Linked DNA regions of Macaca fascicularis. Each later gene encodes a partner of the first gene's protein in a complex. Links are inferred from orthologs where the notes say so. Each region holds a gene or a part of one and is shown on either strand. Other genes may lie near its edges. The genes, in order: POLR2L, GTF2E2, POLR1B, ERCC3, RRN3 and TAF1B.

Region 1 (5,226 bases):
ACCCTCAGGCAGACCCATTCTCCCCCACCAGAGGGCACCACGCCAGGTATCTCAGCAGCAGGGCCATCTGACCTGGGGTGCTTGCTGGCAGCACTGCCTGGACAGCAGGGCCTCCTTAGGGCCGCCTCCCAAGCCAGCTAGGGGTGTCTTAAGGCCTGCCCTCCCTGCTAGACTCGGGTGGGACCCTCAGGGACAGGCAGCAGTGGGCAGGGGCCAGCAGGTGCTGGCATCCGTGACCATAGCAAAGACTGGGCCCCAGACGATCTGGTTCTTTTTTTTCTTTTTTTTTGAGATGGAGTCTCACTGTCACCCAGGCTGGAGTGAGTGGCGCAATCTCGGCTCACTGCAAGCTCCCCCTCCCGGGTTCAAGCAGTTCTCCTGCCTCAGCCTCCCGAGTAGCTGGGACTACAGGCGCCCGGCACCTCGCCTGGCTGTTTTTTTTGTTTTGTATGTTTAGTAGAGACGGGGTTTCACCGTGTTAGCCAGCATGGCCTCAATCTCCTGACCTCGTGATCCACCCGCCTTGGCCTCCCAAAGTGCTGGGATTATAGGGGTGAGCCACCGTGCCTGGCCTAAATCTGGCTCTTCAGATTCCAAGAGAGAGAGTACAGGAGCCTCTGCTCAGTCTGAAGAGCACCCAGAAGGAGGGAACCTCAGCCCTGAGATGGAAGGCTCTCCTGGCAGCACCTCCTGCAGGGGTACCTGTGGAACAGGCTGGCCCCAGGGCTAGGAGAATTCATGGCCCAGTCGGCTTCCCTGGGCTGCCGCGGTGAAAGCTGGGCCTAGTCCTGGCCCCTGACATCCTAGTGAGGGCTGGGACCTTGGTAGTTCTGAAAGACCTTTACTGGATTGTTCCTTCCAGAGTGGGGGATGGGACACACACACGCTGTGGCGAGGCATTGCGCCAGCTCCTGGATGCCTCAGCCTTGTGAACTTGGGGCAGGATGCTCATGGCCCATGGTCAGCATGGCAGGTAGGCGGATTCCAGCCTGGTCACTTCTCCAGGGGTGCATAATTGAGCAGCTTCTCGATCAGGTCCACGTGGGCCAGCAGCATCCGGCGGCAGCAGTAGCGCTTCAGGCCCAGGGCGTCCAGCGCATCCCTGTGTCAAGCGAGGGGAGGAACAGAGAGGCCAGCTGAGTTCTCCACGGTCTGCACAGGCCTGGAGCCCACATCCAGGCCGCCTCTCACTGCCTGCTGGCCTCACTCCCCTGCTACCGGCAAGGCGAACACATTCACCTGGATGAGAAGTAGAGACCTAGCGGTATGATCCTGGCTGGAGTAACCTGGCAATGCCCAGATCCCTGGGTGGAGCGTGAGGAGCCTTCTCTCCCACCTACTCTGGCTGTACATATGTGTGTCTAACATATGTAAGAAATATAAATGAAACGAAAACTAGAGGTAATTGGGGGAGCATAGAAAACCAAGGCCACCGAGGTCCTGATGCGCAGCTCCCCTCATCCCGCACCAGCCACAGCAGGGTAGCTCTCCAGGGGCCTGCCCTTAGCTGGTTCATCCCCCACCCCAGAGCAAGCCCTACTCTGCCACTGTGGCGTCTTTTCTCACCTCTGCTTCCTTCAATCAGGGAGAGACTGCTTCTCCAGGGAGCCACCTCTCCCATTTCCCAAGCCAATTAGAAGCTTTAATTTCCCTGGGACCAAGGTCCAGTCACCATCAATACTTCCAGAAAACTCCCACACTGATGGCTCCAATGTGCAGAGAGAGAAGCTTGGGAAAGGGGAGGCCACATGGGAGGCCCCTGCAGTTCATATCCCTGGGAAAGGGTCTGGACAGGCCACCAGCCACTCACTCTGGCAGCCCACTCGCTTTACTCATTCGTCCAGCAAGCTGCACTGAGAGCCTATGGCAGGCTGGCACACACGAGCCTGGGGTTTCACATGTGACCAGGACTCAGCAGGCAAGGGTCAGACTCCAGCAGGGGCACCAAGACTCAGGCACGGTGGTGACAGCAGCACTGAGGGACAAGCACAGGAGAAGGATGCCTCCCCCACAAAGCCCGATGATGAGGGTGGTCAGCAAGTCTGCCCTGCATTTCTTTTTCTGTGTGTGTGTGTGTGTGTGCGTGACACGGAGTTTCACTCTCTCATCCAGGCTGGAGTGCAGTGGCGTGATCTCGGCTCACTGAAATCTTCACCTGCCTCCCAGCCTCAAGCGATTCTCTCGCCTCAGCCTTCCAAGTAGCTGGGACCACAGGTGTGCACCACCAAGTCCGGGGAATTAAAAAGATAAGAGGGCCAGGGGCGGTGGCTCACACCTGTCATCTCAGCACTCCAGGAGGCCGAGGCAGGTGGATCACCTGAGGTCAGGAGTTCGAGACCAGCCTGGCCAACATGGCGAACTCCTATCTCTACTAAAAATACAAAAATTAGCCGGGCGTGGACACGCCTGTAGTCCCGGCGACTGGGGAGAATTCCTGGAGCCCAGGAAGCAGAGGTTGCACTGAGCCGAGATCGCGCCGCTGCACTCCAGCCTGGGCGACAGAGCGAGACTCCGTCCCCCCCAAAAAAAAAAAAGAAAAAATTTCTGGAGATCAGGGTCTCCCCAGGTTGTCCAGGCTGGTCTCGACCTCCTGGGCTCAAGCAAGCCTCTCGCCTCGGCCTCCCAAACTTCTGGGATTACAGGCGTGAGCCGCCGCGCCCGCCTGTCCTGCAGCGAGGTTTGCAGGACATGGGGTGGGTCTGGGAGCAGAGACGAGAGATTAGGACGGAGACCAAGGGCTTTACTGCGGGTGACAAGACGCCTGCCACCCGCCAGGCCACCTAGAATCCCCAGGACACCACTGGTTTGAAGCCCAACTCCGCTCTCTCCCCAGACTTCAGGGGACAATGTTCTCCCGAAAGCAGATCACAGAGCTGGGCCGGAGTGGCCGGGTATGAAGCTGCTCATGGAGCGCCGGCCCCAGGCAGCGCTGCGCCTCCCGCCCCGGCCCGCACCCCAGGGCGGACTCAGCCCCCAGCCCCGGCCCCAGCCCGCGCCTCACCCCTCAGTGTACTCGGCCTGCAGCAGCCCCAGGTAGGCCTCCCACTTGTTGCCGACGATCTTGCCGCAAGTGAAACACCGTACAGGAATGATCATGGCGGCGGCGCGTCCCAGACTGCCCGGCCCGGTCCGGCCGCACGGGAAGCACTCCCCCCAGGCCCCGCCCCGGGCGCGTCCACTATCGCGGGGGGACCGGCTCCGCTCGTTCTCCGCTGCCCCAGCCGTTCATACACTGGCCCCGGCGCAGCTGGCCGCAATTTCCGCCGCCATGGGGATTCCCCATGCGGCCCGGGGCTCCTGGGCCTGCACGGCCGCGGCAGCAACAGACGACACACCCCCGCCCACCATCTTGGTGCGTCCCGGAGCTACGGCGTCTGAGCAGGGCCGAAAGCCGCGGTGGCGGTTCGCGTTTCTCGTGTCCGCTTGACTGACAGCTGCGCGGAGGGAGCGGACGAAGCGAGCGGGAGGCGGCGGCGCAGGTAGAGCGCCCGGGGGGTCGTGGGGGCGTGCGGCCAGGGTCTCGCGGCCCGAGGTGTCCGACCGGGAGCGGCTGGAGCCGGACGCGAGCGGGGCGCGCGAGTTCGAGCCTAGAGCCGACACGCAGCAACAAGTGGGGTCCGGCGCGGGGGCTTGGGGAGAGGGCGGGCGCGGACCGGGGCGGGTCTTCCTGCTGCCCCTCTTGGCCCCGCCGGGTAGTGGGTCCCTCCGCCTCCGCCTCTACTCGCGGGGTGTCCGGGGCTCTCGGCGCCGAGTTCGGGGGTCCCATTCTGGACGCGGCCCAGCCCCTAGGAGCGCCGTCCTGGCCTCGGCCGCGCAGTTACGGCCCCCGCCGGCTGCTCCCCGCCCCGGCCTCCTGTCCGCGTTCTTTCCGCTCCTTCCCAGGAAGGGGGTCGGGGTGCGCCCTCCCCGGTCCCGGCTCTGCTGGGCTGCTGGCCGTCCCGACGCTGAGACGCGCCTCTGAGCACGGGGAGAGGGGGCCCGGGAGGGAGGTCGGGGAGGGCGTCGTGGAAGAGGTGCTCTTTGAATTGAACCTTGAAGACCGCGGCACAGGGGACCCCTGGGCAGACTCCCGGAGGCTGCACTGGCAGGACCCGCTGAAGGCCGCAGCTCTGCCTTGCCCTGGAGCTCAGGGCCTACGGAGGACGAGGGAGGGGGAGCCCGTGTCTCTCGGATGGAGTGCGGGGGGGCTGGCACCAGCACCCTCCTTGCTGTGCCCCTAGGGTGGGGGTGAGGAAATGGGGGGTCGGTGTGCAGTAGGAGGCAAAGAAGACTCCTTGGAGGTGCCAGGTAGGCTGTGGGGGGGTGGGTGGGCTGCAAAGTGGCACCCATGGGGGGGCTCTGGGCTGGGGCTTCCAGCTGGGGTGGGACCTGTGCTGGGTTCCAGGCATCAGCTGCCGCTTTCTCAGGGCAATGCTGGGTCTGCCTTAGTTGCAGGGGAGGAGGATGAAGGGTTTTCTGGATCCAGAGTGGTGCTGGCCAGATCCACTGCACACTTGGGATTTCTGCTCCCAACCTGGCCAGGGCCCTGGGCAGCTTCCCCAGTGGCATTTGTCATACCCCACCCAGCCACGTGCAGAGCCACGAGCGGAGGCCACTTCCCTTCCCTGACCCCCTCCCCCCAGGATGAGTGGACGCACATCCTGCTCTGGCAGAGGGGCAGGACAGGGGCCGTGAGTAACGGTGGCCTGGGGTCAGAGCCAGGCTCAGCTGCAGAGGCTGCTGGTGGCTGTGGAGGTGAGGGAGGAAGGGGGGTCCGGGATGTTAGCAGGGTGGGCCCTGGGGAGTGGGTGGGGGCCCGGAGGCTTCCTGGAGGAGGGTCCAGGGCCTGTCCTGCGCCTGTTCCTGCCTGCAGGAGTTGTTTACTCGGAGCACGGGGCGGGGAGAGTAAGCTGCCCTCCAAATCCTGGCTTGGGCCAAGCTGACATTCTTGGAATTCCAAGTGTGTAAGCTTCCTATCCCTCCATTTCCTAGCAGAGCCCCTGAGACCTGGAGACTGCCCCAGCCTCAGGCTCTGTGCCCCTCCCCCGAGTCCCCACCACATGTGTGTGGAGGCCGCTGGGGAGCCCAGGCCTGTCCTCAGCCCTGACGGGGCTATACCTGAGGACCCTGGGGAGCCTGGGCCTGCCTCAGCCCTGGCTGGTGCGTCCCCCTGAGAGCGTGTGGGGCGGAACAGCCTGGGGCCTGGGCCCGACCCTCCTCAGGCTAGCGGGGGTGGGAGGGAGCCTT
Region 2 (5,197 bases), on another chromosome or scaffold:
AGGGCAGAAATTCGAAGGAGGTGGATTTAGGCTCACTGCAAAAAAAGAGAACCATCAGAACTGCTTATAAATAAAACAGCATATTTTTAAAACTGGTGAACTCTTAATAATTAAGTGATGAAGAGGCTGAATTATTATACTATTTGTTAGAAATGTCTACAGGGAGCCAGGCACAGTGGCTCACATATGTAATCCCAGCAATTTGGGAGGCTGAGGTGGGTTGATCACTTGAGGTCAAGAGTTTGAGACCAGCCTGGGCAACATAGTGAAACCCTATCTCTACAAAAAATACAAAAATTAGCCAGTCATGGTGACACACACGTGTACTCCTGGCTACGCAGAAGGCTGAGGCACGAGAATCATTTGAGTCCAGCGGAGGTTGCAGTAAGCTGAGATCCCACCACTGCACTCCAGCCTAGGTGACACAGCAAGACTCTGTCTCAAAAATAAAAAAATAAAAAAATAAAAGTCTACAGAAAATTTCCAATTTGGATGGAGGTGGTTTGAGGCAACTTCTATGTTGTGGTTGTTTGTCCAGTTCTAAAATTACAACTGTAAGCAACTTCAGTACAACCAGGGAAGCTACAGGTCAACCAAGAAGAATTCTAAACACTCCTCTCTTCTGAACTCTGCTAGAACCTTGCAGAGGGTCTATGAAGACCTCAAGCTGACTATATAAATGAATTTGACACTGTTAAGACTAGTGTCAGCTGGGAGGAAAAAGACTCATACTTTGAAAGCTTCTAAGCACAGATAGCTCAATAAATGTTAAATGAACAACACATGGAACAACATCTTTAAATTGCTCTGGTCCCATTATTACTGGTTTCACAAGCCTTTATTAAATGTCTTCTGTTTGTGAGGCACTGTGCTCTAAGCTTTGAAAGGTTATGGAGGATAAATCCTTGTCTGCGTGCTGCTTAGATTTGAGGAAATGGAGCATTCAGCTAAAAATTTAAAATATAAGCATTAGTAAGAAATAATCAGAGTGAATTCCAATTAAGGCGTGAACAATCACTGTACGGTGAATCAAAAACCTGCCTTCTCTCAGTATCAATTTTTTTTTTTTTTGAGACAGAGTCTTGCTCTGCCGCGCAGACTGGAGTGCAGTAGGGCAAAATCGGCTCAATGCAACCTCCGCTTCCTGAGCTCAAGCGATTCTCCTGCCTCAGCCTCCCGAGTAGCTGGGGCTACAGGTGCGAAGCACCACGCGCCGCTAATTTTTGTACTTTTAGTAGAGACGGGGTTCATTCACCATGTTGGCCAAGCTGGTCTTGAAGCCCTGACCTCAAGTGATCCGCCCACCTCAGCATCCCAAAGTGCTGAGATAACAGGCGTGAGCCACCACACCCGGCCTCAGTTTCAATTCCTAAGAGCCACCTGGCTAGGCAACCCACAAGGCCTCTACATTCAATTTCATAAGTAAAATGAGGACGCTGCGAAAGCTATCCACATCCAGCCCAATTGTAAGAATGAGAAAACGTGTGTTATTTTTTAAATAGTAAAGTCATAAAAACATATGTCATTTCAGTATTACTATTTCGAGTTGGATCTGAAAGAAAAGAACGATTTACTGCGCTGAGGAAGGTAGGAGACAGCCTTGGGAGGAGGGAAAGCGTGGGGCCGAGAACAAGAAAGGAGAATTGTTAAGTGAGAAGGTGGGGGCAACAAGCTGATTGTGAATTTCTAGAACAGGAAACATTTGTGTCTTATTATTTCACGTTGCAAAGGCAGGACCTTAATCTGGACTTTTAAAAAACGACTCTAAAATATTTAAATAGGCCGGCCGCAGTGGTTCACGCCTGTAATGCCAGCCCTTTGGGAGGCCGAGACGGGCGGATCACGAGGTCAGGAGTTCTAGACCAGTCTGGCCAACATGGTGAAACTCCGTTTCCGCTAAAAAATTTTTAAAAATTGCGGGGCGTGGTGGCGGGCGCCTGTAATCCCAGCTACTTGGGAGGCTGAGGCAGGAGAATCGCTTGAACCAGGGAGGTGGAGGTTGCAGTGAGCCAAGATCGAGCCACTGCACTCCAGCCCGGAAGACAGCGCGAGACTCTGTCGGCACAAAAAAAAAAAAAAAAAAAAAAAAAAAGATGTAAATAAAGCCGTACAGTTTACAACAAACTAAATGCTTACAGTATTTGACCCTCGCAACTCCAGGAGCAAACAGGTATTAGTGTCATTCCTATTTTAATACATGAAATCTGAAGTGAAGCTGTCTGGTTAAGGTCGCACAGATGGAAGAGCCAGGGCCAGAACCCAAACCTCCTGACTCCTAACTCAAGTGCTCCTTACAACAGATCTGGAATGCTGGTAAAGGCCTTTAAAACAAAGGCCACCTATGAGGTTCGGGAACGTTCAAAGGCATCTAGAGCAGAAGGCTTCGCAATGTCTTCACGTGCTCCGCCTAACTTTTCCTCCTTTTTCAAAGACTACTCAATATGTGTAGTACGCTTTAGATCTCTGGACCCACCTATGTAGTAAACAGGTTACATCACCATGTTCATTTTACAATTAAACAAAACTATCACAACTCAAGGAGTTGGCTGGTTCCTCCGCGGGCAGATATGGAAAACCCAAAAATTAAACTGAAATCTGCCTCCAAGCCCACGATTCTTGCCATCATTCGACCTCTTTCAACCTTCCTACCTCCCCTCTGTTTTACTTTTTCCCAGCCTCGTTAGTGTCCCTGGCACCTCAGGATCCGGCCATGAAAAGCGGGCTGCTTCGCCCTTAAATGACGGAAGTGAGGAGGTGGGCGGAAAGCGGGCCGCAGCATTGTTGTGGAAAACGTCTTTAGACTTCAGAAATCAACTACTATCGTTAATGTTTAGGGATCATCACAAACCAAGTCTCCAAAAGGTAGCCCAGAAAGCAGTCCGCGTACAAGCATCATTTTAAATCACAGCCTTGAGCTGGCTGGACCCCGTGGCTCCTCAGACTCCACAACGTGGTTCGCTTGGCTACCGCGCCCGTGAACTTGGAGGCTTGGAAGAGGCACAATCAGGTAGCAAACAGCGAATTTTCCCTCTTTCCAACCCAAAAGTTTGCTCAATGAACCTCCGGCCTAAAGACAATGCTCCGGGGAACGGTTCGCGTGCTCGGTGTTTCGCTTCCAGAACGGCGGCCCCAGCTTCCCGTGGGGTGGAGGTCACGCTCAGCCTCCCGGGAGGCGGCGGCGCGCCTGGATCCTGGGGAACAGCAGGACGGGGCTCTGCGCCCCTCACCCGGCGGCCGCAGCCCCTACCTGAGTGAGGCGGGCAGCCTCTCACGACTCGCCGCCCAGTTCCTGCGCCTCCGCCTCGGCCAGCCGCCCACGCCGGCACTGCAGCCTCTTCCTGCTCCTCGTCAGCGCCCCCGCCTGCCCGCACGCACGCCCAGCGCTGACCCGCCAGGTCGGGGTCTCGCCACTGGCGGCGGCGGCGGCGGTGGCTGAGGCGACGACTCGACCCGGGACTCCGCCCGCCACTTCCCGATCTGGTGCTAGGAGCTCAGTCCCGGCAGCCACCGCGGCGCCAGGGCAGCGAAGCGAGCGCATGCGTCATAGGGTGCCCCGCCTCTGGTGCCGCGGGAGCAGAACTATCCCGCTGTGGCGTCCTGGAGCCTCCATGACAACGAGGGAAGGGCCGGGGCGGGGCCGAGGAGTGGACTGAAGTGGGAGGCGGTGCCAAGGAAGATGGAAGACAGCTTTCTTTACGCACATTTAATTAAAGCTGCTACAGCCTGCTCCCGCCTGCGCTGGGATGTGGTGAACCCAACCAGCGACGCTATCTTTCAATGGTTACTTTGTGTTTTTTGTCTTTTTCTTATTAGAGATGGGATCTCACTTGGTCGCCCAGGCTGGACTGCAGTGGCGCGATCTCGGCTCACTGCAACCTCCGCCTCCTGGGCTCAAGCCACTTTCCCACCTCAGCCTCCGGAGTAGCTGGGATCACAGGCGACTGCCACCACGACGGGCTGATTTTTGTTGTTATTGTTTGTATTAATAGGGTCTCACAGTGTTGCCCAGACTGGTCTTGAACTCCTGAGTTCAAGCGATCTGCCCGCCTCGTCTTCCCGAAGTGCTGGGATTACAGGCGTGAGCCACCGCCTCCGGCCTCAACGGTTATTTTGTGAGTTTACCCCAGTGCCACCCACCAGCACCTGCTCTCCGAGAACGCGGTTCCAGCTATTTTACAAGCGAAGAACAGAGGGCCAGGAAGCTAATTAATAAATGACTTGCTCAAGACAGCACAGCTAGCAAAGGCAGCATGATGTGGAGCTCAGCCCAGCCTCTTCCCTCCACCCCTGTGAACTGTCTTAGAAAAGGATTTTGGATTTAGAAGCCAGATAAATGGGTGGAAATAAAGCAATGGAAAAAATAATTGTCGTTGCTCGAACCCTGCAGCGTGGCAGGCCTTCCCTCACTCTTATAACCTAAAGCGCCAGTACAGCCAGTGCTCAGCCATTCTGTGGCTGTCGTTGAATTACTTAACTACTGGTTACTCTTCAAGTTACTAAAACTGTGGCTCAGTTTTCTCACCTGGAAAATCGGGATAATCATTGTACTACTACAATGAGTTACTTGCATTGGACTGTGGTGAAAATGAGAAATACCTAAAATTTTATTCAAAACTTGGAAAAAAGTCAAAAGATAATATTTTGTGACCTTTTTGATTAGTTTCATTCTAGAGAATTTTGTAATAAGCCTACTTGATCATCTGACACCCACAGGAAATGTAACTTTGAATAACAATTGATTAGGGCCCAGAAGATTTACAAAAGGATGAAATCAAAGATTAATTGGTAGGAAACTGATGAGGTGTAAGGGGAGAAAGGGGCAGGGAATTCAGTGCCAAGCTGAATTTATATATATAAAAATATATAAATATAAATATATTATTTATATATAATATATAAAATATATAATATATATTATAATATATTTATATATAATATATATTATATATCATGTATAATATACATTATCTATTTATATATAATATATAATATATGATATATATTTATATATAATGTATGATATATAAATATATATCATATATTATATATCATATATATTATGTATAATATACAAAATAATATATAAATATATATTTGTATATAAATATGTATAAATATGTATATAATTCCAAAGGTTAAGGTTGCATTCTTCTAAGAAAAATTAACCAGTTTTGTATCAACTGAGCAGTTGTATTTC
Region 3 (4,511 bases), on another chromosome or scaffold:
TGTGTATCACACCTATAATCAAGATGAAAGAAGCAGAAAATGCTAAGATGTTTTTCTCCGTGTAGGTAAGCAAACTATGGGCTTTCCACTTCTCACTTACCAAGACCGATCAGATAACAAACTGTATCGTCTTCAGACTCCTCAGAGTCCCTTGGTGAGACCCTCCATGTATGATTATTATGACATGGATAACTATCCAATTGGGACCAATGCCATCGTTGCCGTGATTTCTTACACTGGCTATGATATGGAAGATGCCATGGTAAGTTTTACCGGGAAATGTTGTTCCGATCTTTTTATCTTTTAACTCTTTTGTTTACTGTGAAATCACTGAAGGAATATTTTTGTGTACCCAAGTACCTAGTATTTGGCACATGATGTTCTATGAAATGATTAGTTCTTGGTCTAAGTTGAAAGTGGGCAAGCCTTGAGGAGTATCCACTAAATATTCAGATACACATATATCTTGCATATTTGAGTGCATATTATGAGTAAATTTTGAAGAGTTTGGTTTTGGATATATCTACCTTTTATATTTAAGTATGATTAGATTTTAAGCTATTTCTGTGTGCCTGGGTTTTTGTTTTTCTTGGTGTTTTTTGTTTTTTGTGTTTTTTTTGAGCCAGAGTCTTGCTCTATTGTCCAGGCTGGAGTGCAGTGGCACGATCTTGGCTCACTACAACCCCTGCCTTCTGGGTTCAAGCAATTCTCCTGCCTCAGCCTTTCGAGTAGCTGGGACTATAGGCACCCGCCACCACGCCTGGCTGATTTTTTATTTTTAGTAGAGATGGAGTTTCACCATGTTGGCTAGGCTGGTCTCTTAACTCCTGACCTCAAGTGATCAGCCTGCCTTGGCCTCCCAAAGTGCTGGAATTACAGGCATGAGCCACTGTGCCCAGCCATGTCTGGATTTTTGTAGTTAGTATCAGTGATTTGGAAAATGTGAGGAGAGTTAAAATGTGATGCCAGTTATCCTAAACCAAGTATTATAGTCCCACCTAGTTTTATTTTGAAAATCCTCACTTGGCCTCAGTCTTTTAAATTAACGATTCTTTTACTTCACAGATTGTGAATAAGGCCTCTTGGGAACGAGGCTTTGCCCATGGAAGTGTCTACAAGTCTGAGTTCATAGACCTCTCTGAAAAAATTAAACAAGGAGATAGTAGCCTGGTGTTTGGAATCAAACCTGGTGACCCACGGATTTTGCAGAAGTTAGATGACGATGGATTGCCGTTTATAGGAGCAAAACTGCAGTATGGAGATCCATATTACAGCTACCTAAACCTCAACACTGGGGAAAGTTTTGTGATGTACTATAAGTAAGTTTGGGTATCCAAGCTGGTTTTTGTTTGTTTTTTGAGATAGGGTCTCAGTGTGTTAGCCAGGCTGGAGTGCAGTGGAGTGATCTCACTCCCTACAACCTCCACCTCCCGGCTCAAGCAATCCTCTCACCTCAGCCTTCAAGTAGCTGGGACTACAGGCACGTACCACCATGCCCAGCTAATTTTTTGTATTTTTAGTAGAGATGGTTTCACCATGTTGCCCAGGAGGGTCTCGAACTCCTGGGCTCAAGTGATCCACCTGCTTCAGCCTCCCAAAGTGCTAGGATTACAGGTGTGAGCCACTGTGCCTGGTCTATTTGTGCTTTTTTTAAAAACTGTATTATACAAACTTTGTCGTCTTTATCATATACAATGTTAGCAATGTTTCCTAGCCAAAATGTTGAGCTCATACCTCTTATTAGAAATGTCTTATTTTAGCTTATTTTACAATATAATTTATTTCAGTAGACCTTCATAATAATTTTTCAGTTGCCTTTGTTGCTAGTTTTCTTTCAGATGAACATAATTCTGTAGTGAATATCACCAATAGCTCTATTCATACCATCTCTGTTTGTATTGGAGAATAAAGGTAAGAATGAGTTTTGCAGGCCAGGCACAGTAGTTCACACCTGCAACCCGACAATTTGGGAGACCAAAATGGGAGGCTCCCTTAAGCCCAGAAGTTTAAGATCAATCTGGGCAATGTAGTGGGACCCTGTCTCTACAAAAAATTTAAAAATTAGCCAAGCCTAGTGGCATGTACCTGTAGTCCCAGCTACTGAGGCGGCTAAGGTGGGAGGATTCCTTGAACCTGGAAAGTCAAGGCTGCAGTGAGCTGTAATCACACCACCCCTCTCCAGCCTGGGCAACAGAGTGAGACCCTGTCTCATCAAAAAAAAAAAAAAAATGTGTTTTACAAATATCTTTTATGAAGCACTAATTATGTCAATGAAACTTACCTCTATAAGTTTAAACAAATAGGTTGACCTTACAGAGTTTACTTTTTCCTAGGAGTAAAGAAAATTGTGTTGTGGATAACATCAAAGTGTGCAGTAATGACACTGGGAGTGGAAAATTCAAGTGTGTTTGCATCACTATGAGAGTGCCTCGGAACCCAACTATCGGAGATAAATTTGCCAGTCGTCATGGGCAGAAGGGCATTTTGAGCAGATTGTGGCCGGCTGAGGACATGCCTTTTACTGAGAGTGGGATGGTCCCAGACATTCTGTTCAATCCCCATGGTTTTCCATCCCGCATGACCATCGGGATGTTAATTGAGAGTATGGCTGGGAAGTCTGCAGCTTTGCATGGTCTCTGCCATGATGCTACACCCTTCATCTTCTCAGAGGAGAACTCGGCCTTAGAATACTTTGGTGAGATGTTAAAGGCTGCTGGCTACAATTTCTATGGCACCGAGAGGTTATATAGTGGCATCAGTGGGCTAGAACTGGAAGCAGACATCTTCATAGGAGTGGTTTATTATCAGCGCTTACGCCACATGGTCTCAGACAAATTTCAAGTAAGGACAACTGGGGCCCGAGACAGAGTCACCAACCAGCCTATTGGGGGAAGAAATGTCCAGGGTGGAATCCGTTTTGGGGAGATGGAACGGGATGCGCTTTTAGCTCACGGTACATCTTTTCTCCTTCATGACCGCCTCTTCAACTGCTCAGATCGGTCAGTAGCCCACGTGTGTGTGAAGTGTGGCAGTTTACTCTCTCCACTGTTGGAGAAGCCACCCCCTTCTTGGTCTGCCATGCGCAACAGAAAATACAACTGTACTCTGTGTAATCGCAGTGACACTATCGATACTGTTTCTGTGCCTTATGTTTTTCGGTATTTTGTAGCTGAATTGGCAGCTATGAACATCAAAGTGAAACTGGATGTTGTTTAACTTGATGTTGACCTTTTGGATTAGGAGGCCTATCAGATTAAAACAAAACGTAATTTTAGTTCAATGAAGATATTATTACCAGGTTACTCTTGAGATTTTTCAAGGGTGTTAGAACTCTCAACCAAGATCTGAAAACCAAGAATGCAAAGTGTGAATCTCGCTGGTAGATTAACTGTTGACAATGATTTTCTGTATATTTGTTCAAAAATCTCATGTCTTCTCAAAATATGAAATATTGATAAATGGAAGAACATACAGGTTCCCTACACCCTGCTTTCAGCAGGCAGTGACTGTCACACACCTGTTAATCCATCTTGAGCAGGACAGTACTATACAAATAGAATGCAAGCTGTAACGTAATTTTATATTTTCTTATAGCAACATTGAAGTAAAAACAAACAGAGTGTTTTTTGCCAGCTTTATAGAAGTACAGTTGTTACATATGTAATGAATACAGTTTGATGGGTTAGACTATATGTACACACCTTTGATACCATCACCACAATCAGGGTAATAAACATATCTGTCATCTCCACAAGTTTCCTCCTGCCCCTTTGTTTTTTGCTTTTTGGTTGCTGTTGAGTTTTTTGTTTTGTTTTCTGTGGTAAGAACACGTAACTCAAGACCTACCCTCTTAACAAATCTTTAAGTGTACAATACACTATTGTTAATTATAGGCACCATGTTGTACAACAGATCTTTAGACCTTGCTTGTCTTGCATAACTGAAGCTTTATACCTGTTGAACAACTCTCCATTTCCCTAGCCCCTAGCAAGCACCCTTCTACCCTGTTTCTACAAGTTTGACTATTATAGATATCTCATATAGTGGTATCATGCAATATTTGTCCTCCGACTGGCTTATTTCACTTAGGATAGTGAAATAAGATTCATCCATTTTGGAAGCCAGGCATGGTGCTATGCATCTGTAGTCCCTGCTATTTGAGAGGCTAAGGTGGGAGGATCATTTAAGTGCAGGAGTTCAAGGCCAGCCTGGGTAATGTAGGAAGACCTTGTCTTAAAGACCTTGACCTCAAGTGATCCACCCACCTTTGCCTCCCAAAGTGCTGGGATTACAGGTGTGAGCCACTGCGCCTGGCCTCCAGTGAGTATTTTATATTTAGTCTACACTTCCATACTTGGCTTTTTTCTGCATTTATATTGACCTGCTTTCAAGCAGTGTGTAGAGTGCCGCTTATGTTTTCTTTCCTGTGCACAGTATTTTATTGTACGGATATACCATCCCCTGTGTATTTGAGTTGTTCCATTCTTTGGCCATTATAACTTTTTTCGGCA
Region 4 (4,544 bases), on another chromosome or scaffold:
CCTGCTCCAGCCTGTTTTCTTCTTTATAATGAGACATGCTCACTTCACACACACATGTGAGAATTAGCAGGTGCTGGGGCCTACTGTAGCACTTTACATGCATCTCATTTAAATGTTAAAATCTCAAAACAAACTGGTGAAAAGAGAAATGCCTGTTATTGTCATTTTAAAGATAGAAAAACCTGGCTGAGCCACCTTGGCACGGTGGCTCACACCTGTAATCCCAGCACTTTGGGAGGCTGAGGTGGGTGGGTCACTTGAGGTCAGGAATTCAAGACCAGCCTGGCCAACATGGTGAAACCCTATCTTTACTAAAGATACAAAAAATTAGCCAGGCGTGGTGGCGGGCGCCTATAATCCCGGTTACTTGGGAGGCTGAAGCAGGAAAATAGCTTGAACCCAGTAGGCAGAGGTTGCAGTGAGCCGAGATGGCGCCACTGCACTCCAGCCTGGGTGACAGAGCAAGACTCTATCTCAAAAAGAAAAAAGACAGACTGAAAAACTAAAGCAGAGGAGTACTTTGCCTTGCCCACAGTCACGGGACAGTGACACTGCTGGGGCCCAGCATGCCTGGCCCACAGAAGGAGGGACTTGGCAAAAGAGCACTATTATTATTACACAGCGAACGGGGCTGAGACTTCAGGGATGCGCTGCGTGTGTACAGAGAAGATGAAATTCCAGGAGCTTCTGAGTTTACCACCATCCACCATTTAAAGATCAAGAGAAAAATCAAGCTTTTCCATTAAACAGAGATCCTTCCTTTATTATAAAAATACATTCTGTTGAGTTACCAGGAGTAAATGCAAATAAAAAAAATTGCAAAGTGAAATAAAAAAGAAAAACACCATCAAAAAACCCTTGGAGTTTTGGAAAAAAAGAACCTCCCCTTCCCTGAAGACCTTGCCTCTGTAAGTCCTCAGTGGGGTCCCAAGGTGAGTCTGCTGTGGCCTCTGGCCAAGAAGCTAGGCTAGGATCTGACATTACTGAGGATAAGTGGTCAAACAGGTGCCCAGGGGGCCACTCCTGCCTTTCCCTGGACTTGCACACCATCCTAGTCATCCAGGAACACCAACGTTTCTGTGCTAGGGAGTCTCCAAATACACAACCCCTAAGGCTGATTCAAGAACAAGAACCTAACGCCACTATGTGCAACAGCCCCTTGCCATTATTACAATCTCACCCCTTATCTGCTCTCATTTTTCTTCACTGCCTCTAGCACCACCCAAGATTGTACACATCTGCTTACCATCTGTATCTTCCCCAGAAGAATGAGCTCCATGAGGTCAGAAGTGTTGTTCTAGCCACCATAATACTCCCAGTGTCCAGGCCAAGGCCCATGCACAGCAAGCACTAGAATACTTGTCAAGTCATGAATCAGGGAGTCACCTGATCTTGGCTTTTTAGCAAAGTGTGATTTAGTGACATGCGCAGAGAGAAAGCAAGAGGCAGCTGGCAGATCCAGACACAGCAGCCTGGCCACCTTCTTAACTCCAGAACCACCTACCGCAGGGAAGAACAATGACCCCCGAACGTGCACGCCCGTTTCCAAACATCTTTCTCAAGCTCTTCTCCTGATAGGGTCTGAGGACAGCTGTGGGCTTTAGGTCAATGTTGATATCAGGGTTGACAGAATCATTCCGGAAGTCGTATTCTGCCAAGAGAGGGTACTCCAGGTGGATGCAACGTTTCTGGAGTTCCTCAATCATTTCCTGGAAAGTAGGCACAAAAAAGGTTTTAAAATCTTAACTCCAAAGTGTGCTCAAAAACATCACATCTTGTAACAGGTCTAATGGTCAAACAAGTGGCATTCTGTCTAAACTTCTACAGTTTTAGATCTTGCTCAGTTAACAACTGGGATAAAGCACAGAAAAGCAACCCAAACTAGTAACACTTTCAGGCACTGTTTCTCACATCTCCTCAGCAACTTGTGAAGACCAGCCTACCAGCCTGAAAAAGAGGACACTGGGACTTTAAATCCATCAAGAGGAGTGATGCCATGGCCCACAGATAATGAAAAGTAGAAAGCAATGCAGGGACCAACAGGGATTCCTTTCTTTCACACAGACTACAGGCAGAGTTGACACAGGGCTGGACTAACTTCTAACAGCAACTCAGTGAGGGAACCAGGAGGAAGGTCCGTTCACACTAACCTGCTTGACTTCAAAAGATACCGTCTGTGTCTCTTCTTCTTCTTCCTCATCCTTGTCCATTTGCTCATAGAAGTCAAACAGGTCCATGGGGATGTCAGATTTACCCTGTGGATCTGTCACTCGGGAAGTGGAGGGCCCACCACTGCCTTCAGCAGTCTTAGAAATCTGTGAGAGAGGTAGGTGCTGAATGTGCACACATCATTTAATTCTGCTGGTATCAAACAAAGGGTGAAGTTGTAAAGGGTAGAAACCAGCAGGGCTGCCAGGTTGTAAATGCTGGGTAAAAGTCACCTGAGAACTGAAACCCTAAATGCCTGCCCCCACCCAAGGGTAGCCCAGGAGTCCACGTACGGCAGATTTGCTTGTGAAAGTCTCTGTGATGAGCTCAGTGGCCTCCCCTTCAGAGTTCCTTAAGCGGCATTCTCGGATCACCGGGTCCTGGAGAAGATGCTGGATTACATCAGGGTGGGAGCTTTCAACGAAGTATCTGCAAGCAGGAGAGGAAGAAGCAGTCTGCTGACCAGCAGGTACCTCCTCATTCCACTGCTCATTCAATCAGACGGTCTGGAAATACAAGCCTCAAGACTCTCCCCGCAACCCTTCGCCCAATCTGTACTATGAGCTGCTGGCCATGATTTAACATATGAGGGTTGTGGGCAAAGCCCCACTTTGAGGTCAAGTAAGCGGGGGCCTGAGCCCAGCTCCATTGCTAGAGGAAATACAGTGGCCAGTGGACGAGTTTCCAGTCTGGGCCACACCTCTTGTTCCTCTTCTCTTATCTGTGCTTCAGAGGAGTGTGGTATTGGCACAGAGCAGACAGCATAAACATCAGGTCCTTCCCATATCCCTTTATTCCTGCTGGTGCGCAGAGAGTGACCATGACTCGGGACAGGCCTGTCACGGAATCTCTTACCTGTTGTGCTTCAAGACCAGCTTGACTTTTCCATAGCTGACAGTACACAACTGCAAATAGAGATAACACCCAATAGGTAAATGTGCAGCTAACTCAGAACACATTCACTACTGGTCACATCTTACCCCAACCAACCAAGTGAAAAATTCATTTTACTTTAGGACAATCCTAACGGGTTCAGATCTGCCTAAACTGAGCTTTTCCCATTGGCCTCTGCTTTCTGAGAACAAAATCTTCCTCTTGCCTGGCTAATTCTGATGCACATCCATTCAGTTATAAAACGCTGCTTAAAATCTCCTTGCATTCTGCCTTTCCTCTCTATTCCCACAGCCCCCACCCTAGCCTGAAGACCACACCAGTATTACAACAACTCTTTGCACAGAGTATGTGCACAGTAATTGCTGCTTAAACAAAACGCAAAGCCTCTTCACCAATGCTCCTATTTCCCCAAATAGAATGTAAGCATCTTGATGGCAGAGAATACAGCTTAAATCCTCCCAGGTTCCCAACCACCTTTAGGAAGGAATACAGTAGAGGCTGTGTGGCAACAATAAAAATTTGCCACTGAGTCCAGGCGTAGTGGCTCACGCCTGTAATCCCAGCACTTTGGGAGGCCGAGGCAGGTGGATCACCTGAGGTCAGGAGTTCGAGACCAGCCTGGCCAACATGGTGAAACCCTGTCTCTACCAAAAATATAAAAATTAGCTGGGTGTAGTGGCGGGCGCCTGTAATCCCAGCTACTTGGGAGGCTGAGGCAGGAGAATCGCCTGAGCCCGGGAGGCAGAGGTTGCAGTGAGCCAAGATTGTGCCACTGCTATCCAGCCTGGGCGACAGAGCAAGACTCCGTCTCAAAAAAAAAGAAAAAAAAAATTTGCCAGACTTTAAGTGGCTGCCTGTTCCCGCTGTTGTCCCTGATCCACCAGTGCAGTGTGCCAACACCTACATCCCTGCAGGCAATTCGCAGCCAAGACTGAGCATAGCCACAATGTTGGTACAAGGTCCTCTCCTTGGGCACACTTTCTTTTTTGTTGTTGTTTTGAGGTGGAGTCTCGCTCTGTTGCCCAGGCTGGAGTGCAATGGTGAGATCTCAGCTCACTTCAACCTCTGCCGCCCGGGTTCAAGTGATTGTCTTGCCTCAACCTCCTGAGTAGCTGGGATTACAGGCGCCCACCACCATGCCCAGCTAATTTTTGTTATTTTTAGTAAAGACGGGAATTTCGCCATGTTGGCCAGGCTGGTCTTGAACTCCTGACCTCAGGTGATCCACCTGCCTCGGCCTCCCAAAGTGCTGGAGTTACAGGAGTGAGCCACTGCGCCTGGCCGGGCATACTTCCACATCACAGGAAAAGAGAGCTCTCTCGATGACTCCTGCAGCTTCTCTGGGACTGCTTGCAGTGCCATACTGAATTCCTGCGGTACTCTTCTGCCACTCCAGATCTCAAGGTCTGAATCTGACTCCCTTTGGATCAGCCAAAGGCAAT
Region 5 (4,544 bases), on another chromosome or scaffold:
ACCTTGTCTCGGGAAAAAAAAAAAAGACAAAAACTAACAAATGAAATCCCAACAAAGACTCAATAAAAAAGATTCCCAGAACATAACACAGCAGTTAAAATCAAAATAAAGCTTTGTGGCAATATGGTTCAATCTCAAAACCATCAAGCAAGCAAAAGCAACAGCCGCAGAACAGCACACACCTTTATTTACAATATCTGTACCTAGGCAGAGACCTTTATTTCATTCCCCTGCTCTCAGCCTCACATGGCAGCACACTCTGTACCTCTAATGCGCATGCCAACCCCAAATCGACAGCCCCTGCACCAGCTGGTTCACAAATGCAGTCCTCTGTCCCCACCCCGAGAATATACTAGGGCAGCGGCCTCTGCTTGCTTCATCCGTCCTCACTCTTTGAGCTGCCCACCATCTTAACCAACGTGCTGAAGCCTCCAGCCACCCACTGCTGCTGCTTGCTGGTCTCTCGATGCCTTTTCCTAACCCTCCACTATCACTGAGATCTCAGAAGAGAGCCCACCTTGAACCAGACGCCTAGCAAAGGAGAACTAAAGAGGCTGAAGGAGCTCAGCAAGCTGCTGGCTCTTACCTGTTGAAGATTATAGGCTATGATCCGGCCTGAATATCCTCATTAAATATTCAATTCTCCAATTTGCTTTCTCCATAAAGCAGAATAACTTAGTGAAAGCTTACGAAGGAGCCAGACTACATTAAAATCTGTGCCGCCAGTCTAGCTCTATGACTTCAGGTTAAGTGATGTCACCTCTCTGTACCTCCACCTCCCCATTGATAAACAGGGTTTCATCCTACAGGGTTGAGGATCAAATGAGTTCTACGTAAAGTGCTGAGAACTGCCTGGCACAGAGGAAAGGCTATGAATTAACCATAGCTACCAGACCTGAGAGAACAGTACTCTCTAAACCAATCTCTTACTGGTCAACATTTGCCTCACGTCCAGTTTATTTCTGTTACTATTACAGGAGTCACTCTAATAAGCATCTATGGCTTTGCCCCTCTCAGCTTACTGGCTGCCTTACTTATTTCAAAGTGCCTAGGCTTCTGCTGAATTATGCCCTTTGGATAAGAAGTAGCAGCAATTTCCAATGCCATTAAAGTACAAAAACAATAGCTGTATTACAATATTTCCTGCAAGGACTGGGTTGTTTTTGTTTAAGAGACAGGGCCTCATTCTGGAGCCCAGACTGGAGTGCAGTGGTATAATCATGGCTCACGGCATCCTTGACCTCCTGGGATCAAGTGATCCTCCTACCTCAGTTTCCTGAGTAGTGGGGACTACAGGCACAGGCCACCACACCCAGCTAATTTTTTAAAATGTTTTGTAGAGACAGGGTCTCACGATGTTGCTCAGGCTGGTCTTTAACTTCTGGCCTCAAGCAATCCTCCCACCTCAGCCTCCCAAAATGTTGAGATTATAGGTGTCAGCCACCACGCCTGGCCTTTTATAATGTTACTAATTTCACAGAAATTTAACAGACTCTTACAATACTAGATAAACATAAATAAAAATATTTTAAATAACTCCCATCAAGAAAGTAAATAACTTACTTTGTGATTGCAGCAAAAAAGTTAACCACTGAGGGCAGGCAAACCTTCAGGGGATTTAGCTGGCTCATCACTATCCGCTCAAAATTCAGACTCTGAAGATACCGCAAACCTTTGGTTAAAAAAAAAAATTTTTTTAGAGGTACAAATGTAAGTGAAAAGTGTAAGATATCTTTAATAGCACAAATTATCACACATTAAAAAAAAAAACTTAATTATTTGCAGAAATGCTTTAAATAAAGGTCCATGCAGATAATCACACAGTGTATGGCCCAGAAGAGTATCACTAGGCTAACCACATTCATTGATCACCAAGGCAGCTTCTCTAAAGAAAACTCAGGAAGTAGCAGGCTGTAAGATTCCATGACAACTGGAAGTTCACACGTTTGTAAGCTCAGTATATGCTGAGTTAATACAGAGGGGAAAAACACCTTGTGATTTGGTTTCAGCTAACGATCATGACAGGCAACAAAACAAAACAACAATTTGATTCTAGCTTGCACGTCTCATTAGTGAAGCTGAGCGCTGTTTTCAGGTACACAGTAGTCATTTGTAGTTTTTTTTGTTTTTTTTTTTTTCCAAACAAGAGAACTCCAAATGTGCCTTCTACCTCAACAGAAGGCAAATTTAGACAGAAACCACTTTCTTAATGAATATAATTCTCTCCTACGTGAGTAAAAGAAAGACATCACATTTATTTTAACAGGCAAGCTGACCAACTTGTACTTAAGTGTATTTTCTCAGGAGTTTCTTTGATGCATATTTTGATAAAAATTACCTAAATGGGATGTCACAGCTTACAAAAACAAGATCTTCAATTCAGATTCCTGGCATTAATTTATACGAAGAAAAGCAGAGCTTATATTTACTAACCTTGTGATAAAACCTCATCCGACTAGTTCATACAACATCTTTTCAGAAGCATGTAGAATGTAGGTAAATATATATAATGCAACACATACAACTTTCAGTTTAGAGCTCTGGCTGTTAACCCAAGGAGACTATGTCCGCCGCAGAGGACACATGGCAATTTTGGGAGATAGTTTTAGTTGTCACAGCTGGGGGTGGTCGGGGACTGCTGTTGGCAGCTAGTAGGCAGAGGCTGTTAAACATCCTACAGTGCAGAGGACAACCCCCGACGATGAAGGATGATGCACCCAAATGTCAATCGTGTGAGGTTGAGGGACCTCGCTTGAGAGGAAGTGGCCCACAAAACCATGTGAATTATTCATAAACATAAACAGAACAATTTACAATGACTTATAAACACTGTTCTTGGAGACTCTCTTCAACTAAAATACACTAATCTAGTAAGTTCCAACTGACAGATTTGAATTATAAGTAACTATTAGAAATTAGCAAAGCAATACTGGTGAATTAAGTCTCAAGGCTTCAGGCAGAGTTTAATCTATATAAACCCAAACTTTAGGCTCAGCTGAACCTGCCTTCAGTTTTCTAATCCTGCCAATAACCATGTGATCTTGGGAAAATGACTCCCCTGTGCTTTGGTGCTGTCTGTAAAGGGAGAACACCTGCCATTTACTGGGCTGTTACAAGGACAACAAAGAGAAGGTGCATCCACCTGAAGCTTTGTACAGGGCGCTGGCACAGCCCAGGGCTCAGCCTCACCTCTGCAGACATCTTCACATTTTAAACCTTCAAAAGCAGAAACCTCTTTCTTAACCTCAAATCCATCTTAAGGGGTTTGCAGGGGCCTATGAGCTGCTTGAAATGATTATTAAAAGTTTGAGTGTACATGCAGTTTTCTGAATCCAGAGTTTTTAATAAAAATCTCAAAAAAGTAAAGAATCACCATTCTAAAGGGTGACAAGAACCCAAGGAAAATCCAGTCCCGCACTCCCACAACACCGACCTTCTTTCAGGTTTCCGCTCAAAAGCTGCTTGTGTCTGAAAACAAAGGTGTAGAACACAGCTTGGCAGGCTGAGTAAAATGGACCATGGAGAGCAACATCGCAGAATGCCTTTGTTCCTGAATCCTGGTTATTAAGGTATATGTGCAGCCAGTTAACCAAAAGATCTAGGCACGATTTTACAGTACTAGAGAAAAGAAAAATTCAAGTCAACTTCATATTTCATAAAAAAACCAGAAAACATAAAAACACACAACTGCCTTTCATTACAAACCACGCTAAGTTCATATGTTTCTTTAAATAATACCCATGGGCACAGAGGAAAAGCAAAGAAAGGAAGGATATGGATGGGTGCGTAGGAAGACAAGCTTCCAATTACAAGGCAGAGCAGCTCTGACCTTCTAGGAACAGGTGAGCCCCTAAGGACGTCCCAAGGGATGGAAAGCAGGTTCTCCTAACCATCTCAAAGGCACCCTCTTAGGGTGACTGGCCAAACAGGACACGTTCACCAACATCTCCCAAAAGAAAGACAGTCTGGTGGACTTCAGTATTCCCTGATGCATCCTAGTCAAGTCCTATGGTCAATAATTTTGTGGTTGGGGAAGGGTTTCAACAGCATCCTTGTCCAAAGATATCTTCATGGGCCACTGGAAGAAACTGGCCTTCTAGATAGGTCTATTACCTTTAAAAGGGTTTTTCTTCAGCTTTAACAGATACAATAGATTCAGAACGCAAATGAAAAAATGATAAACCTACAAAAAGAATCAAAACAGTATACAACACTGTTCTCTATCCACAAAAACAAACGGATCTTTAAGTGCAACCACACAGAAGAGATGACAAAAGCCTTACATACGGGGTTTTATATATAAAAAAAGGAGACACTTTATTCTAAAATCACTGCTTAGAAATATAAACATCTTGCACAGAGTAGGAATTTTATTCACTTTAAAAACATACCCAAAAAAACGGGAGATACTTCTGACTTGAGACAATGCTATACTCTTTTTAAAGCATGATATTAAAAAGTACTTGGAAAATTAGGCTACTTACATAAGAGGAATAAATTTAGCTCTTGCCAAAAAGCTTCCAATATAATTTCCAGCAGCCTGC
Region 6 (4,544 bases), on another chromosome or scaffold:
AGATACTACAGATGTTTAAAATATTTGTATTTCTGGCTTCCTATTTTTAATCTTTTTTTCTGGAAAGTTCACAGATATTTCTTGAGTATCTGCTAGCCAGGCACTTTGTCAAGTACTAAATAATAATTCTAATTATTGTATAGGATTTAAAGAACCCATATATACATTATCTTATTCCTCAGAATAACCCTGTGAAAGTAGAGGATGAGTTTAGAGATGCTAAATTCATTTCTTTGTTCATTTATTCATCCAGTTATTCTTCAACAAATGTTTAAATGAGTTCCTACTATCTGCCATTCCCTGACAACGCTAGGGGCATAAGGATGGCTGAGACAGTCTCTGCCTTTGAGAGCCTCCATAATTTGTCGTTCAGATTATGCTAGCTCTACCACTAGAAAGTGGTGGGCCAGGTCTTCTGATTCAGTACTCTTTCTTGTTGCCACAGTGTCTTTCAAAATAAGAAAATGGCCTGGGATCAAGAAGAAGGTGGATTTTTTTTTTATTATTATTATAAGTTATGAAAGTCCTCTGCACTAGGGAACACAGAAATAATGAAAATGAGACTAAGAATGAACATTGTTATCTTTGTTGCAGAGCTGCAGTGTCTCCTTGGCAAAGTTTAGCAACAACCACTAGAACCAGAAATAGAACATGTCACTTCCTTTTGGAGTCTAGAACTGATCACCCTAATCTGTAGGAACCTTAGGTGGCTCTTAGTGTTTGTCCTGGAGGGAACCCCAAGAGCCAGAGCAATCCAGGATCCCCATTTTACAGTGGAAACTCCCTGGCTGCCCTTCCCTTGGCAAGAATAGGCTGAGTCAGGACAGGGACTGTTGGGACTGTGTCATCCTGGAATCCAGTCTCTTCCTCTCCTTTACGCCAGGAGTAGAATAGATTTCCTGGCATCAGGTGCCAGAGAGATGCATTTACTGTTCACTCCGTGTAAGTTATTCAAAAGTACTACTAACAACTCTCAGCAAAAAGGCATTGGGGCAAAGGCAATGAGGAACAGTTGTTTCGAGGTGGCTTCACTTTATGAGAACGAGCAGCAAGGGAAATTTATGGTGGAGGAAACTGTTTCTGTGTTTTGTGTGTAATTAATAGCTTCTTCAAGATGTCACGGCATCTGGGCAGCTTTTGAGAGGAGCATACCATTCTCTTGGCCTGGGCTCTCGGTCAGTGCTTCCTTCTAGGGCCTAAGTTCAGTAGACAATATAGACATGTGCCAATAAGCCATTCTAAGCCAGAACTGTAACGAAATATCGGAAATCTCAGATAGTGCTTCAGACAATGTGTTTATGTCCGTTTCATCTCCATCCTGCTCCAGCTGTTTCTTTACCATGTACAGGTACCTGTGGAAAAGTGAAAAGCCACTCTACTACTCGTTTGTCGACAAACCAGTAGCATATAAAAAAAGAGGTGAGTCCAGTTTTGTCTTAATACCAAGTAGCAACACAATTGTAGAAAAATTAAATATCTGGACTTGAAATGTTGAATGCTTAAGTTTTTTACTTTTTTTAAACAAATGTTCCGGGGCACGTATACATCCAAAGGAGCATCATGCTCTGCAAGCAATCTCTGCAGGAATCTACTTCAGGAACATGCCGTTCTTCAAAACAGAGCCTCAGTTCCTGCCAAAATCTAAAATCCTAAATCGTTCTGATTTTGGGAATTCTTTGCTTATAGAATTCTTTTTGGATTGTACATTCTTTTTGAAGTAGTTTTCCACATGCACCTCATCCAGTTTCATTTTCTCTTAAAGTTATCCTGTTACATTACGGTGGTACATTTGCCAAAACTAAGGAACCAATATTGGTACATTCTTATCAAGTAAATTCCAGGCTTTATTTGTGATTTAATATAACTTGTTATTTTGTTTCCTTTTTTTCTCCATTTCCAGAAATGGTGGTGAATCTACAGAAACAATTTAGCACACTGGTTGATTCAACAGCAACTGCTGGAAAAAAAAGCCCTTCAAGTTTTCAGTTCAACTGGACTGAAGAAGACACTGATAGAACATGTTTCCATGGACACAGCCTTCAGGGAGTCCTGAAAGAGAAAGGCCAATCACTGCTAACTAAGAATTCATTATATTGGCTTAGTACACAGAAATTCTGCAGATGGTAATCAATGCTTTTAGAAAAAGTCACATATAATTGAAGCAGTTGCCTATATAAGAGCCAGATAGGTTTTCTGTTGGAATTAGAAGCTGGTGAGCTTAAAGTCACGAAAATCAGAATTATACATTGAGTCTTGTGTAAGAGTTCTAGGAAAGCTGGTAAAAAGAAAGAGGATACAAGGCAATTAGCACAACTGTTGCCTCTAAATTAACCTGCAGTGCAGCAGGCAGGCAATAGAAGTGGCTGTAACTGCTGATCAGGAGAATGCGCTGTATTTTTTAGTACATATCACTTCTCTGAGTCAGTTACCTTTTTCATGTCTTTCTACCTCTTAATACTTCCTTAAGTATTTCCTAAAAATAAGGATATTCTCTTAAGTGACCACCGTACAGTTATCAAACTCAGGAAACTTAATATTGATACGATACTTTTATCTCACCCACAGTCCATATTCCAGTTTTCTCATTAGATCCCCAGTGTCCTTTTATAGCAGGATCAAGTTCAGGAGTAGGTATAGCATTGATTGATTTTATCTCTTCAGTCTCCTTTAATCAGATTGTCCCTCAGCCTTTCTTTGTCTTTCATGACATTGACCTGTATTTTTCAGAAATGTCAGTGGTGTTATACAATATTTCTGAGTATGGTTGTGATGGTTCCTCATATTTAGATTCAGGTTTTGCATCCATGGCAGCTTATGTCGTGATCCGTACCTTTGTGCTTTTTCACAGGGCATGAGGGTGGATTGTGGATGATCTCAGATTTAATACTGCAGTATAACGCAGTGAGTGATACATAGAGCTTAGTATAGTCAGTGATGAAAATGCTGAGATTTTTTTCTCTGAATGAAGTATAAAACTAAATTCTGATTGTATGAAGTTTCAGTGATACCATGACTTTAGACACCAAACTTATCTGTCAACCTTCCCTGTTCTAGACCAGAGCCTAGAACTGCAGAGCAAGCAAAAAAGGCTTCAGCTGGGCAGTAAAAATGCCACAGAGACCGTAACTAAAACTCAGCCTCTTTCCTTAGAGAGCCCCTTAGCCCCTCGCTCAGAGCCCCTGACTCTGCCCTTAGGCTGAGTTGTCTGATTTCCAAACTCCTCATCGTCAAAGAAACAAAACCAGAGGTCCGAGAAGCACTCTGCTGATAGACATCTTGACGGTAAACATAAATGACACCCTTTGACAACGATAGGGGAGCCAGCCTCAGAATCCAAAGCAGACAGAGCTCCAGTCGCAGAGCCTGAAGTTCATGGCTCCGTGCCACTAAATAAGGGGACCACATCCCTGCTTCAGCACAGCGCATGTCCCAAGATGCTGTGTGCCTTCGTGGTGGGTTTTAATAGCATGTTTTCTACTGTTTCTACAATAAAAACAGGCAACTGTAAAGGCTAAAATATGCTAAATATGCTCTAAGACAACCATCAAAAATGGTTACAATGAAAAGCGATGCTTTTGAGAGCAGATATTTAGCTATGTAGAGAATTTCATTAGGCAGAAGGACTCATTTCTGAGGGTTCAGAAGAAACAAAACATTTGCTGTAAAATTGTGAAAACACTCAGAGCTTGGGAACTAAGCAGAGAAAGGCCACAAGAGTACTTCAGGTATGGGAGGCTGTTGATTCTTCCTAGCTGAGGCAGAGTTAACAATTTCAATGAATTGAAATGCCCTTTCTATTCCCAGTTGTTATAATAGTTGGCTGGGTCAGAAGACCTGACTTCTTGTAGGTGGCCATGACCTCCCTGGGAGTTCCATAGATGAGGCAGAGCAGTGGTCTTTAGTTGTATTCCACAGGAAATGGAGGTGCTTTGGCTGCCCCACAAAAATTTGATTTGAATTTGTAAAATATTATTTTTAACTATTTTTTTAAACTACAGTGAAAAAACAGTACTCAGGCCGGGCAGGGTGGCTCATATCTGTAATCCTGGTGCTTTGGGAGGCCGAGGCAGGCGGATCACGAAGTCAGGAGATTGAGACCATCCTGGCCAACATGGTGAAACCCCGTCTCTACTAAAATACAAAAAATTAGTCGGGCGTGGTGGTGCATGCCTGTAGTCCCAGCTACTCAGAAGGCTGAGGCAGGGTAATCACTTGAACTCGGGAGTTGGAGGTTGCCATGGGCCAAGACTGTACCACTGCACTCCAGCCTGGTGACAGAGCGAGACTTAGTCTCAAAAAAAAAAGTACTCAAATATGTCATATGCTTAGCTTAGGCAGGTGTGGTGGCACATGTCTGTAGTCCTGGCGACTTGAAAGGCTGAGGTGGGACAATCACTTGAGGCCAGGAGTTTGAGGCTGTGATGTGCAATGATTGTGACTGTGTGTAGCCACTGCACTCCAGCCTGGGCATAGTGAGACCCTGTCTCTTAAAAATATATATCTCTAAGCCGGGTGTGGTGGGTGGCTCATGCCTGTAATCCCAG

Evidence for each region.
Region 2: POLR2L (region 1) and GTF2E2 share a complex: the UniProt entries of both Homo sapiens proteins name them as parts of the TBP-based Pol II pre-initiation complex. The link is inferred for Macaca fascicularis from reciprocal best matches to the Homo sapiens genes POLR2L and GTF2E2.
Region 3: the proteins of POLR2L (region 1) and POLR1B are in contact, whole or in part, in a cryo-EM structure (PDB 7OBA), measured with the Homo sapiens proteins. The link is inferred for Macaca fascicularis from reciprocal best matches to the Homo sapiens genes POLR2L and POLR1B. Residues at the interface, in NP_066951.1 of Homo sapiens: Met1, Ile2, Pro4, Arg6, Cys7, Phe8, Thr9, Cys10, Gly11, Trp18, Tyr21, Leu22, Leu25, Gln26, Glu31, Gly32, Arg42, Tyr43, Cys44, Arg46, Arg47, Met48, Leu50, Ala51, His52, Val53, Asp54, Leu55, Glu57, Lys58; in NP_061887.2 of Homo sapiens: Leu16, Leu19, Thr20, Asp21, Pro22, Tyr24, Gly25, Pro27, Ile157, His160, Glu161, Glu162, Ala163, Phe698, Leu701, Thr702, Arg713, Gln715, Thr716, Pro717, Gln718, Ser719, Leu721, Asp733, Asn734, Pro736, Asn740, Ala741, Ile742, Asn760.
Region 4: POLR2L (region 1) and ERCC3 share a complex: the UniProt entries of both Homo sapiens proteins name them as parts of the TBP-based Pol II pre-initiation complex. The link is inferred for Macaca fascicularis from reciprocal best matches to the Homo sapiens genes POLR2L and ERCC3.
Region 5: POLR2L (region 1) and RRN3 share a complex: the UniProt entries of both Homo sapiens proteins name them as parts of the pol I pre-initiation complex. The link is inferred for Macaca fascicularis from reciprocal best matches to the Homo sapiens genes POLR2L and RRN3.
Region 6: POLR2L (region 1) and TAF1B share a complex: the UniProt entries of both Homo sapiens proteins name them as parts of the pol I pre-initiation complex. The link is inferred for Macaca fascicularis from reciprocal best matches to the Homo sapiens genes POLR2L and TAF1B.

Annotation. Positions count from the first base shown.
Region 1 is NC_088388.1:742,174-747,399, forward strand, and holds POLR2L (DNA-directed RNA polymerases I, II, and III subunit RPABC5), read right to left. Parts: upstream 3,118-5,226; 5' UTR 3,097-3,117; coding exon 3,002-3,096; intron 1,103-3,001; coding exon 994-1,102; 3' UTR 826-993; downstream 1-825. Other genes in the region: TSPAN4 (tetraspanin-4), read left to right, coding at 4,759-4,943. UniProt on the Homo sapiens protein: DNA-dependent RNA polymerase catalyzes the transcription of DNA into RNA using the four ribonucleoside triphosphates as substrates.
Region 2 is NC_088382.1:33,860,388-33,865,584, forward strand, and holds the start of GTF2E2 (transcription initiation factor IIE subunit beta), read right to left. Parts: upstream 3,494-5,197; 5' UTR 2,888-3,493; exon of another isoform or gene 2,650-2,887; intron 1-2,649. UniProt on the Homo sapiens protein: Recruits TFIIH to the initiation complex and stimulates the RNA polymerase II C-terminal domain kinase and DNA-dependent ATPase activities of TFIIH. Both TFIIH and TFIIE are required for promoter clearance by RNA polymerase.
Region 3 is NC_088387.1:19,569,610-19,574,120, forward strand, and holds the end of POLR1B (DNA-directed RNA polymerase I subunit RPA2), read left to right. Parts: intron 1-65; coding exon 66-262; intron 263-1,065; coding exon 1,066-1,319; intron 1,320-2,333; coding exon 2,334-3,216; 3' UTR 3,217-3,751; downstream 3,752-4,511. UniProt on the Homo sapiens protein: Catalytic core component of RNA polymerase I (Pol I), a DNA-dependent RNA polymerase which synthesizes ribosomal RNA precursors using the four ribonucleoside triphosphates as substrates.
Region 4 is NC_088386.1:4,251,242-4,255,785, reverse strand, and holds part of ERCC3 (general transcription and DNA repair factor IIH helicase/translocase subunit XPB), read right to left. Parts: intron 3,114-4,544; coding exon 3,064-3,113; intron 2,638-3,063; coding exon 2,502-2,637; intron 2,316-2,501; coding exon 2,151-2,315; intron 1,710-2,150; coding exon 1,505-1,709; intron 1-1,504. UniProt on the Homo sapiens protein: ATP-dependent 3'-5' DNA helicase/translocase. Binds dsDNA rather than ssDNA, unzipping it in a translocase rather than classical helicase activity. Component of the general transcription and DNA repair factor IIH (TFIIH) core complex.
Region 5 is NC_088394.1:15,520,787-15,525,330, reverse strand, and holds part of RRN3 (RNA polymerase I-specific transcription initiation factor RRN3), read right to left. Parts: coding exon 4,485-4,544; intron 3,619-4,484; coding exon 3,434-3,618; intron 1,673-3,433; coding exon 1,564-1,672; intron 1-1,563. UniProt on the Homo sapiens protein: Required for efficient transcription initiation by RNA polymerase I (Pol I). Required for the formation of the competent pre-initiation complex (PIC).
Region 6 is NC_088387.1:112,161,581-112,166,124, reverse strand, and holds part of TAF1B (TATA box-binding protein-associated factor RNA polymerase I subunit B), read left to right. Parts: intron 1-1,348; coding exon 1,349-1,419; intron 1,420-1,900; coding exon 1,901-2,123; intron 2,124-4,544. UniProt on the Homo sapiens protein: Component of RNA polymerase I core factor complex that acts as a GTF2B/TFIIB-like factor and plays a key role in multiple steps during transcription initiation such as pre-initiation complex (PIC) assembly and postpolymerase recruitment events in polymerase I (Pol I) transcription.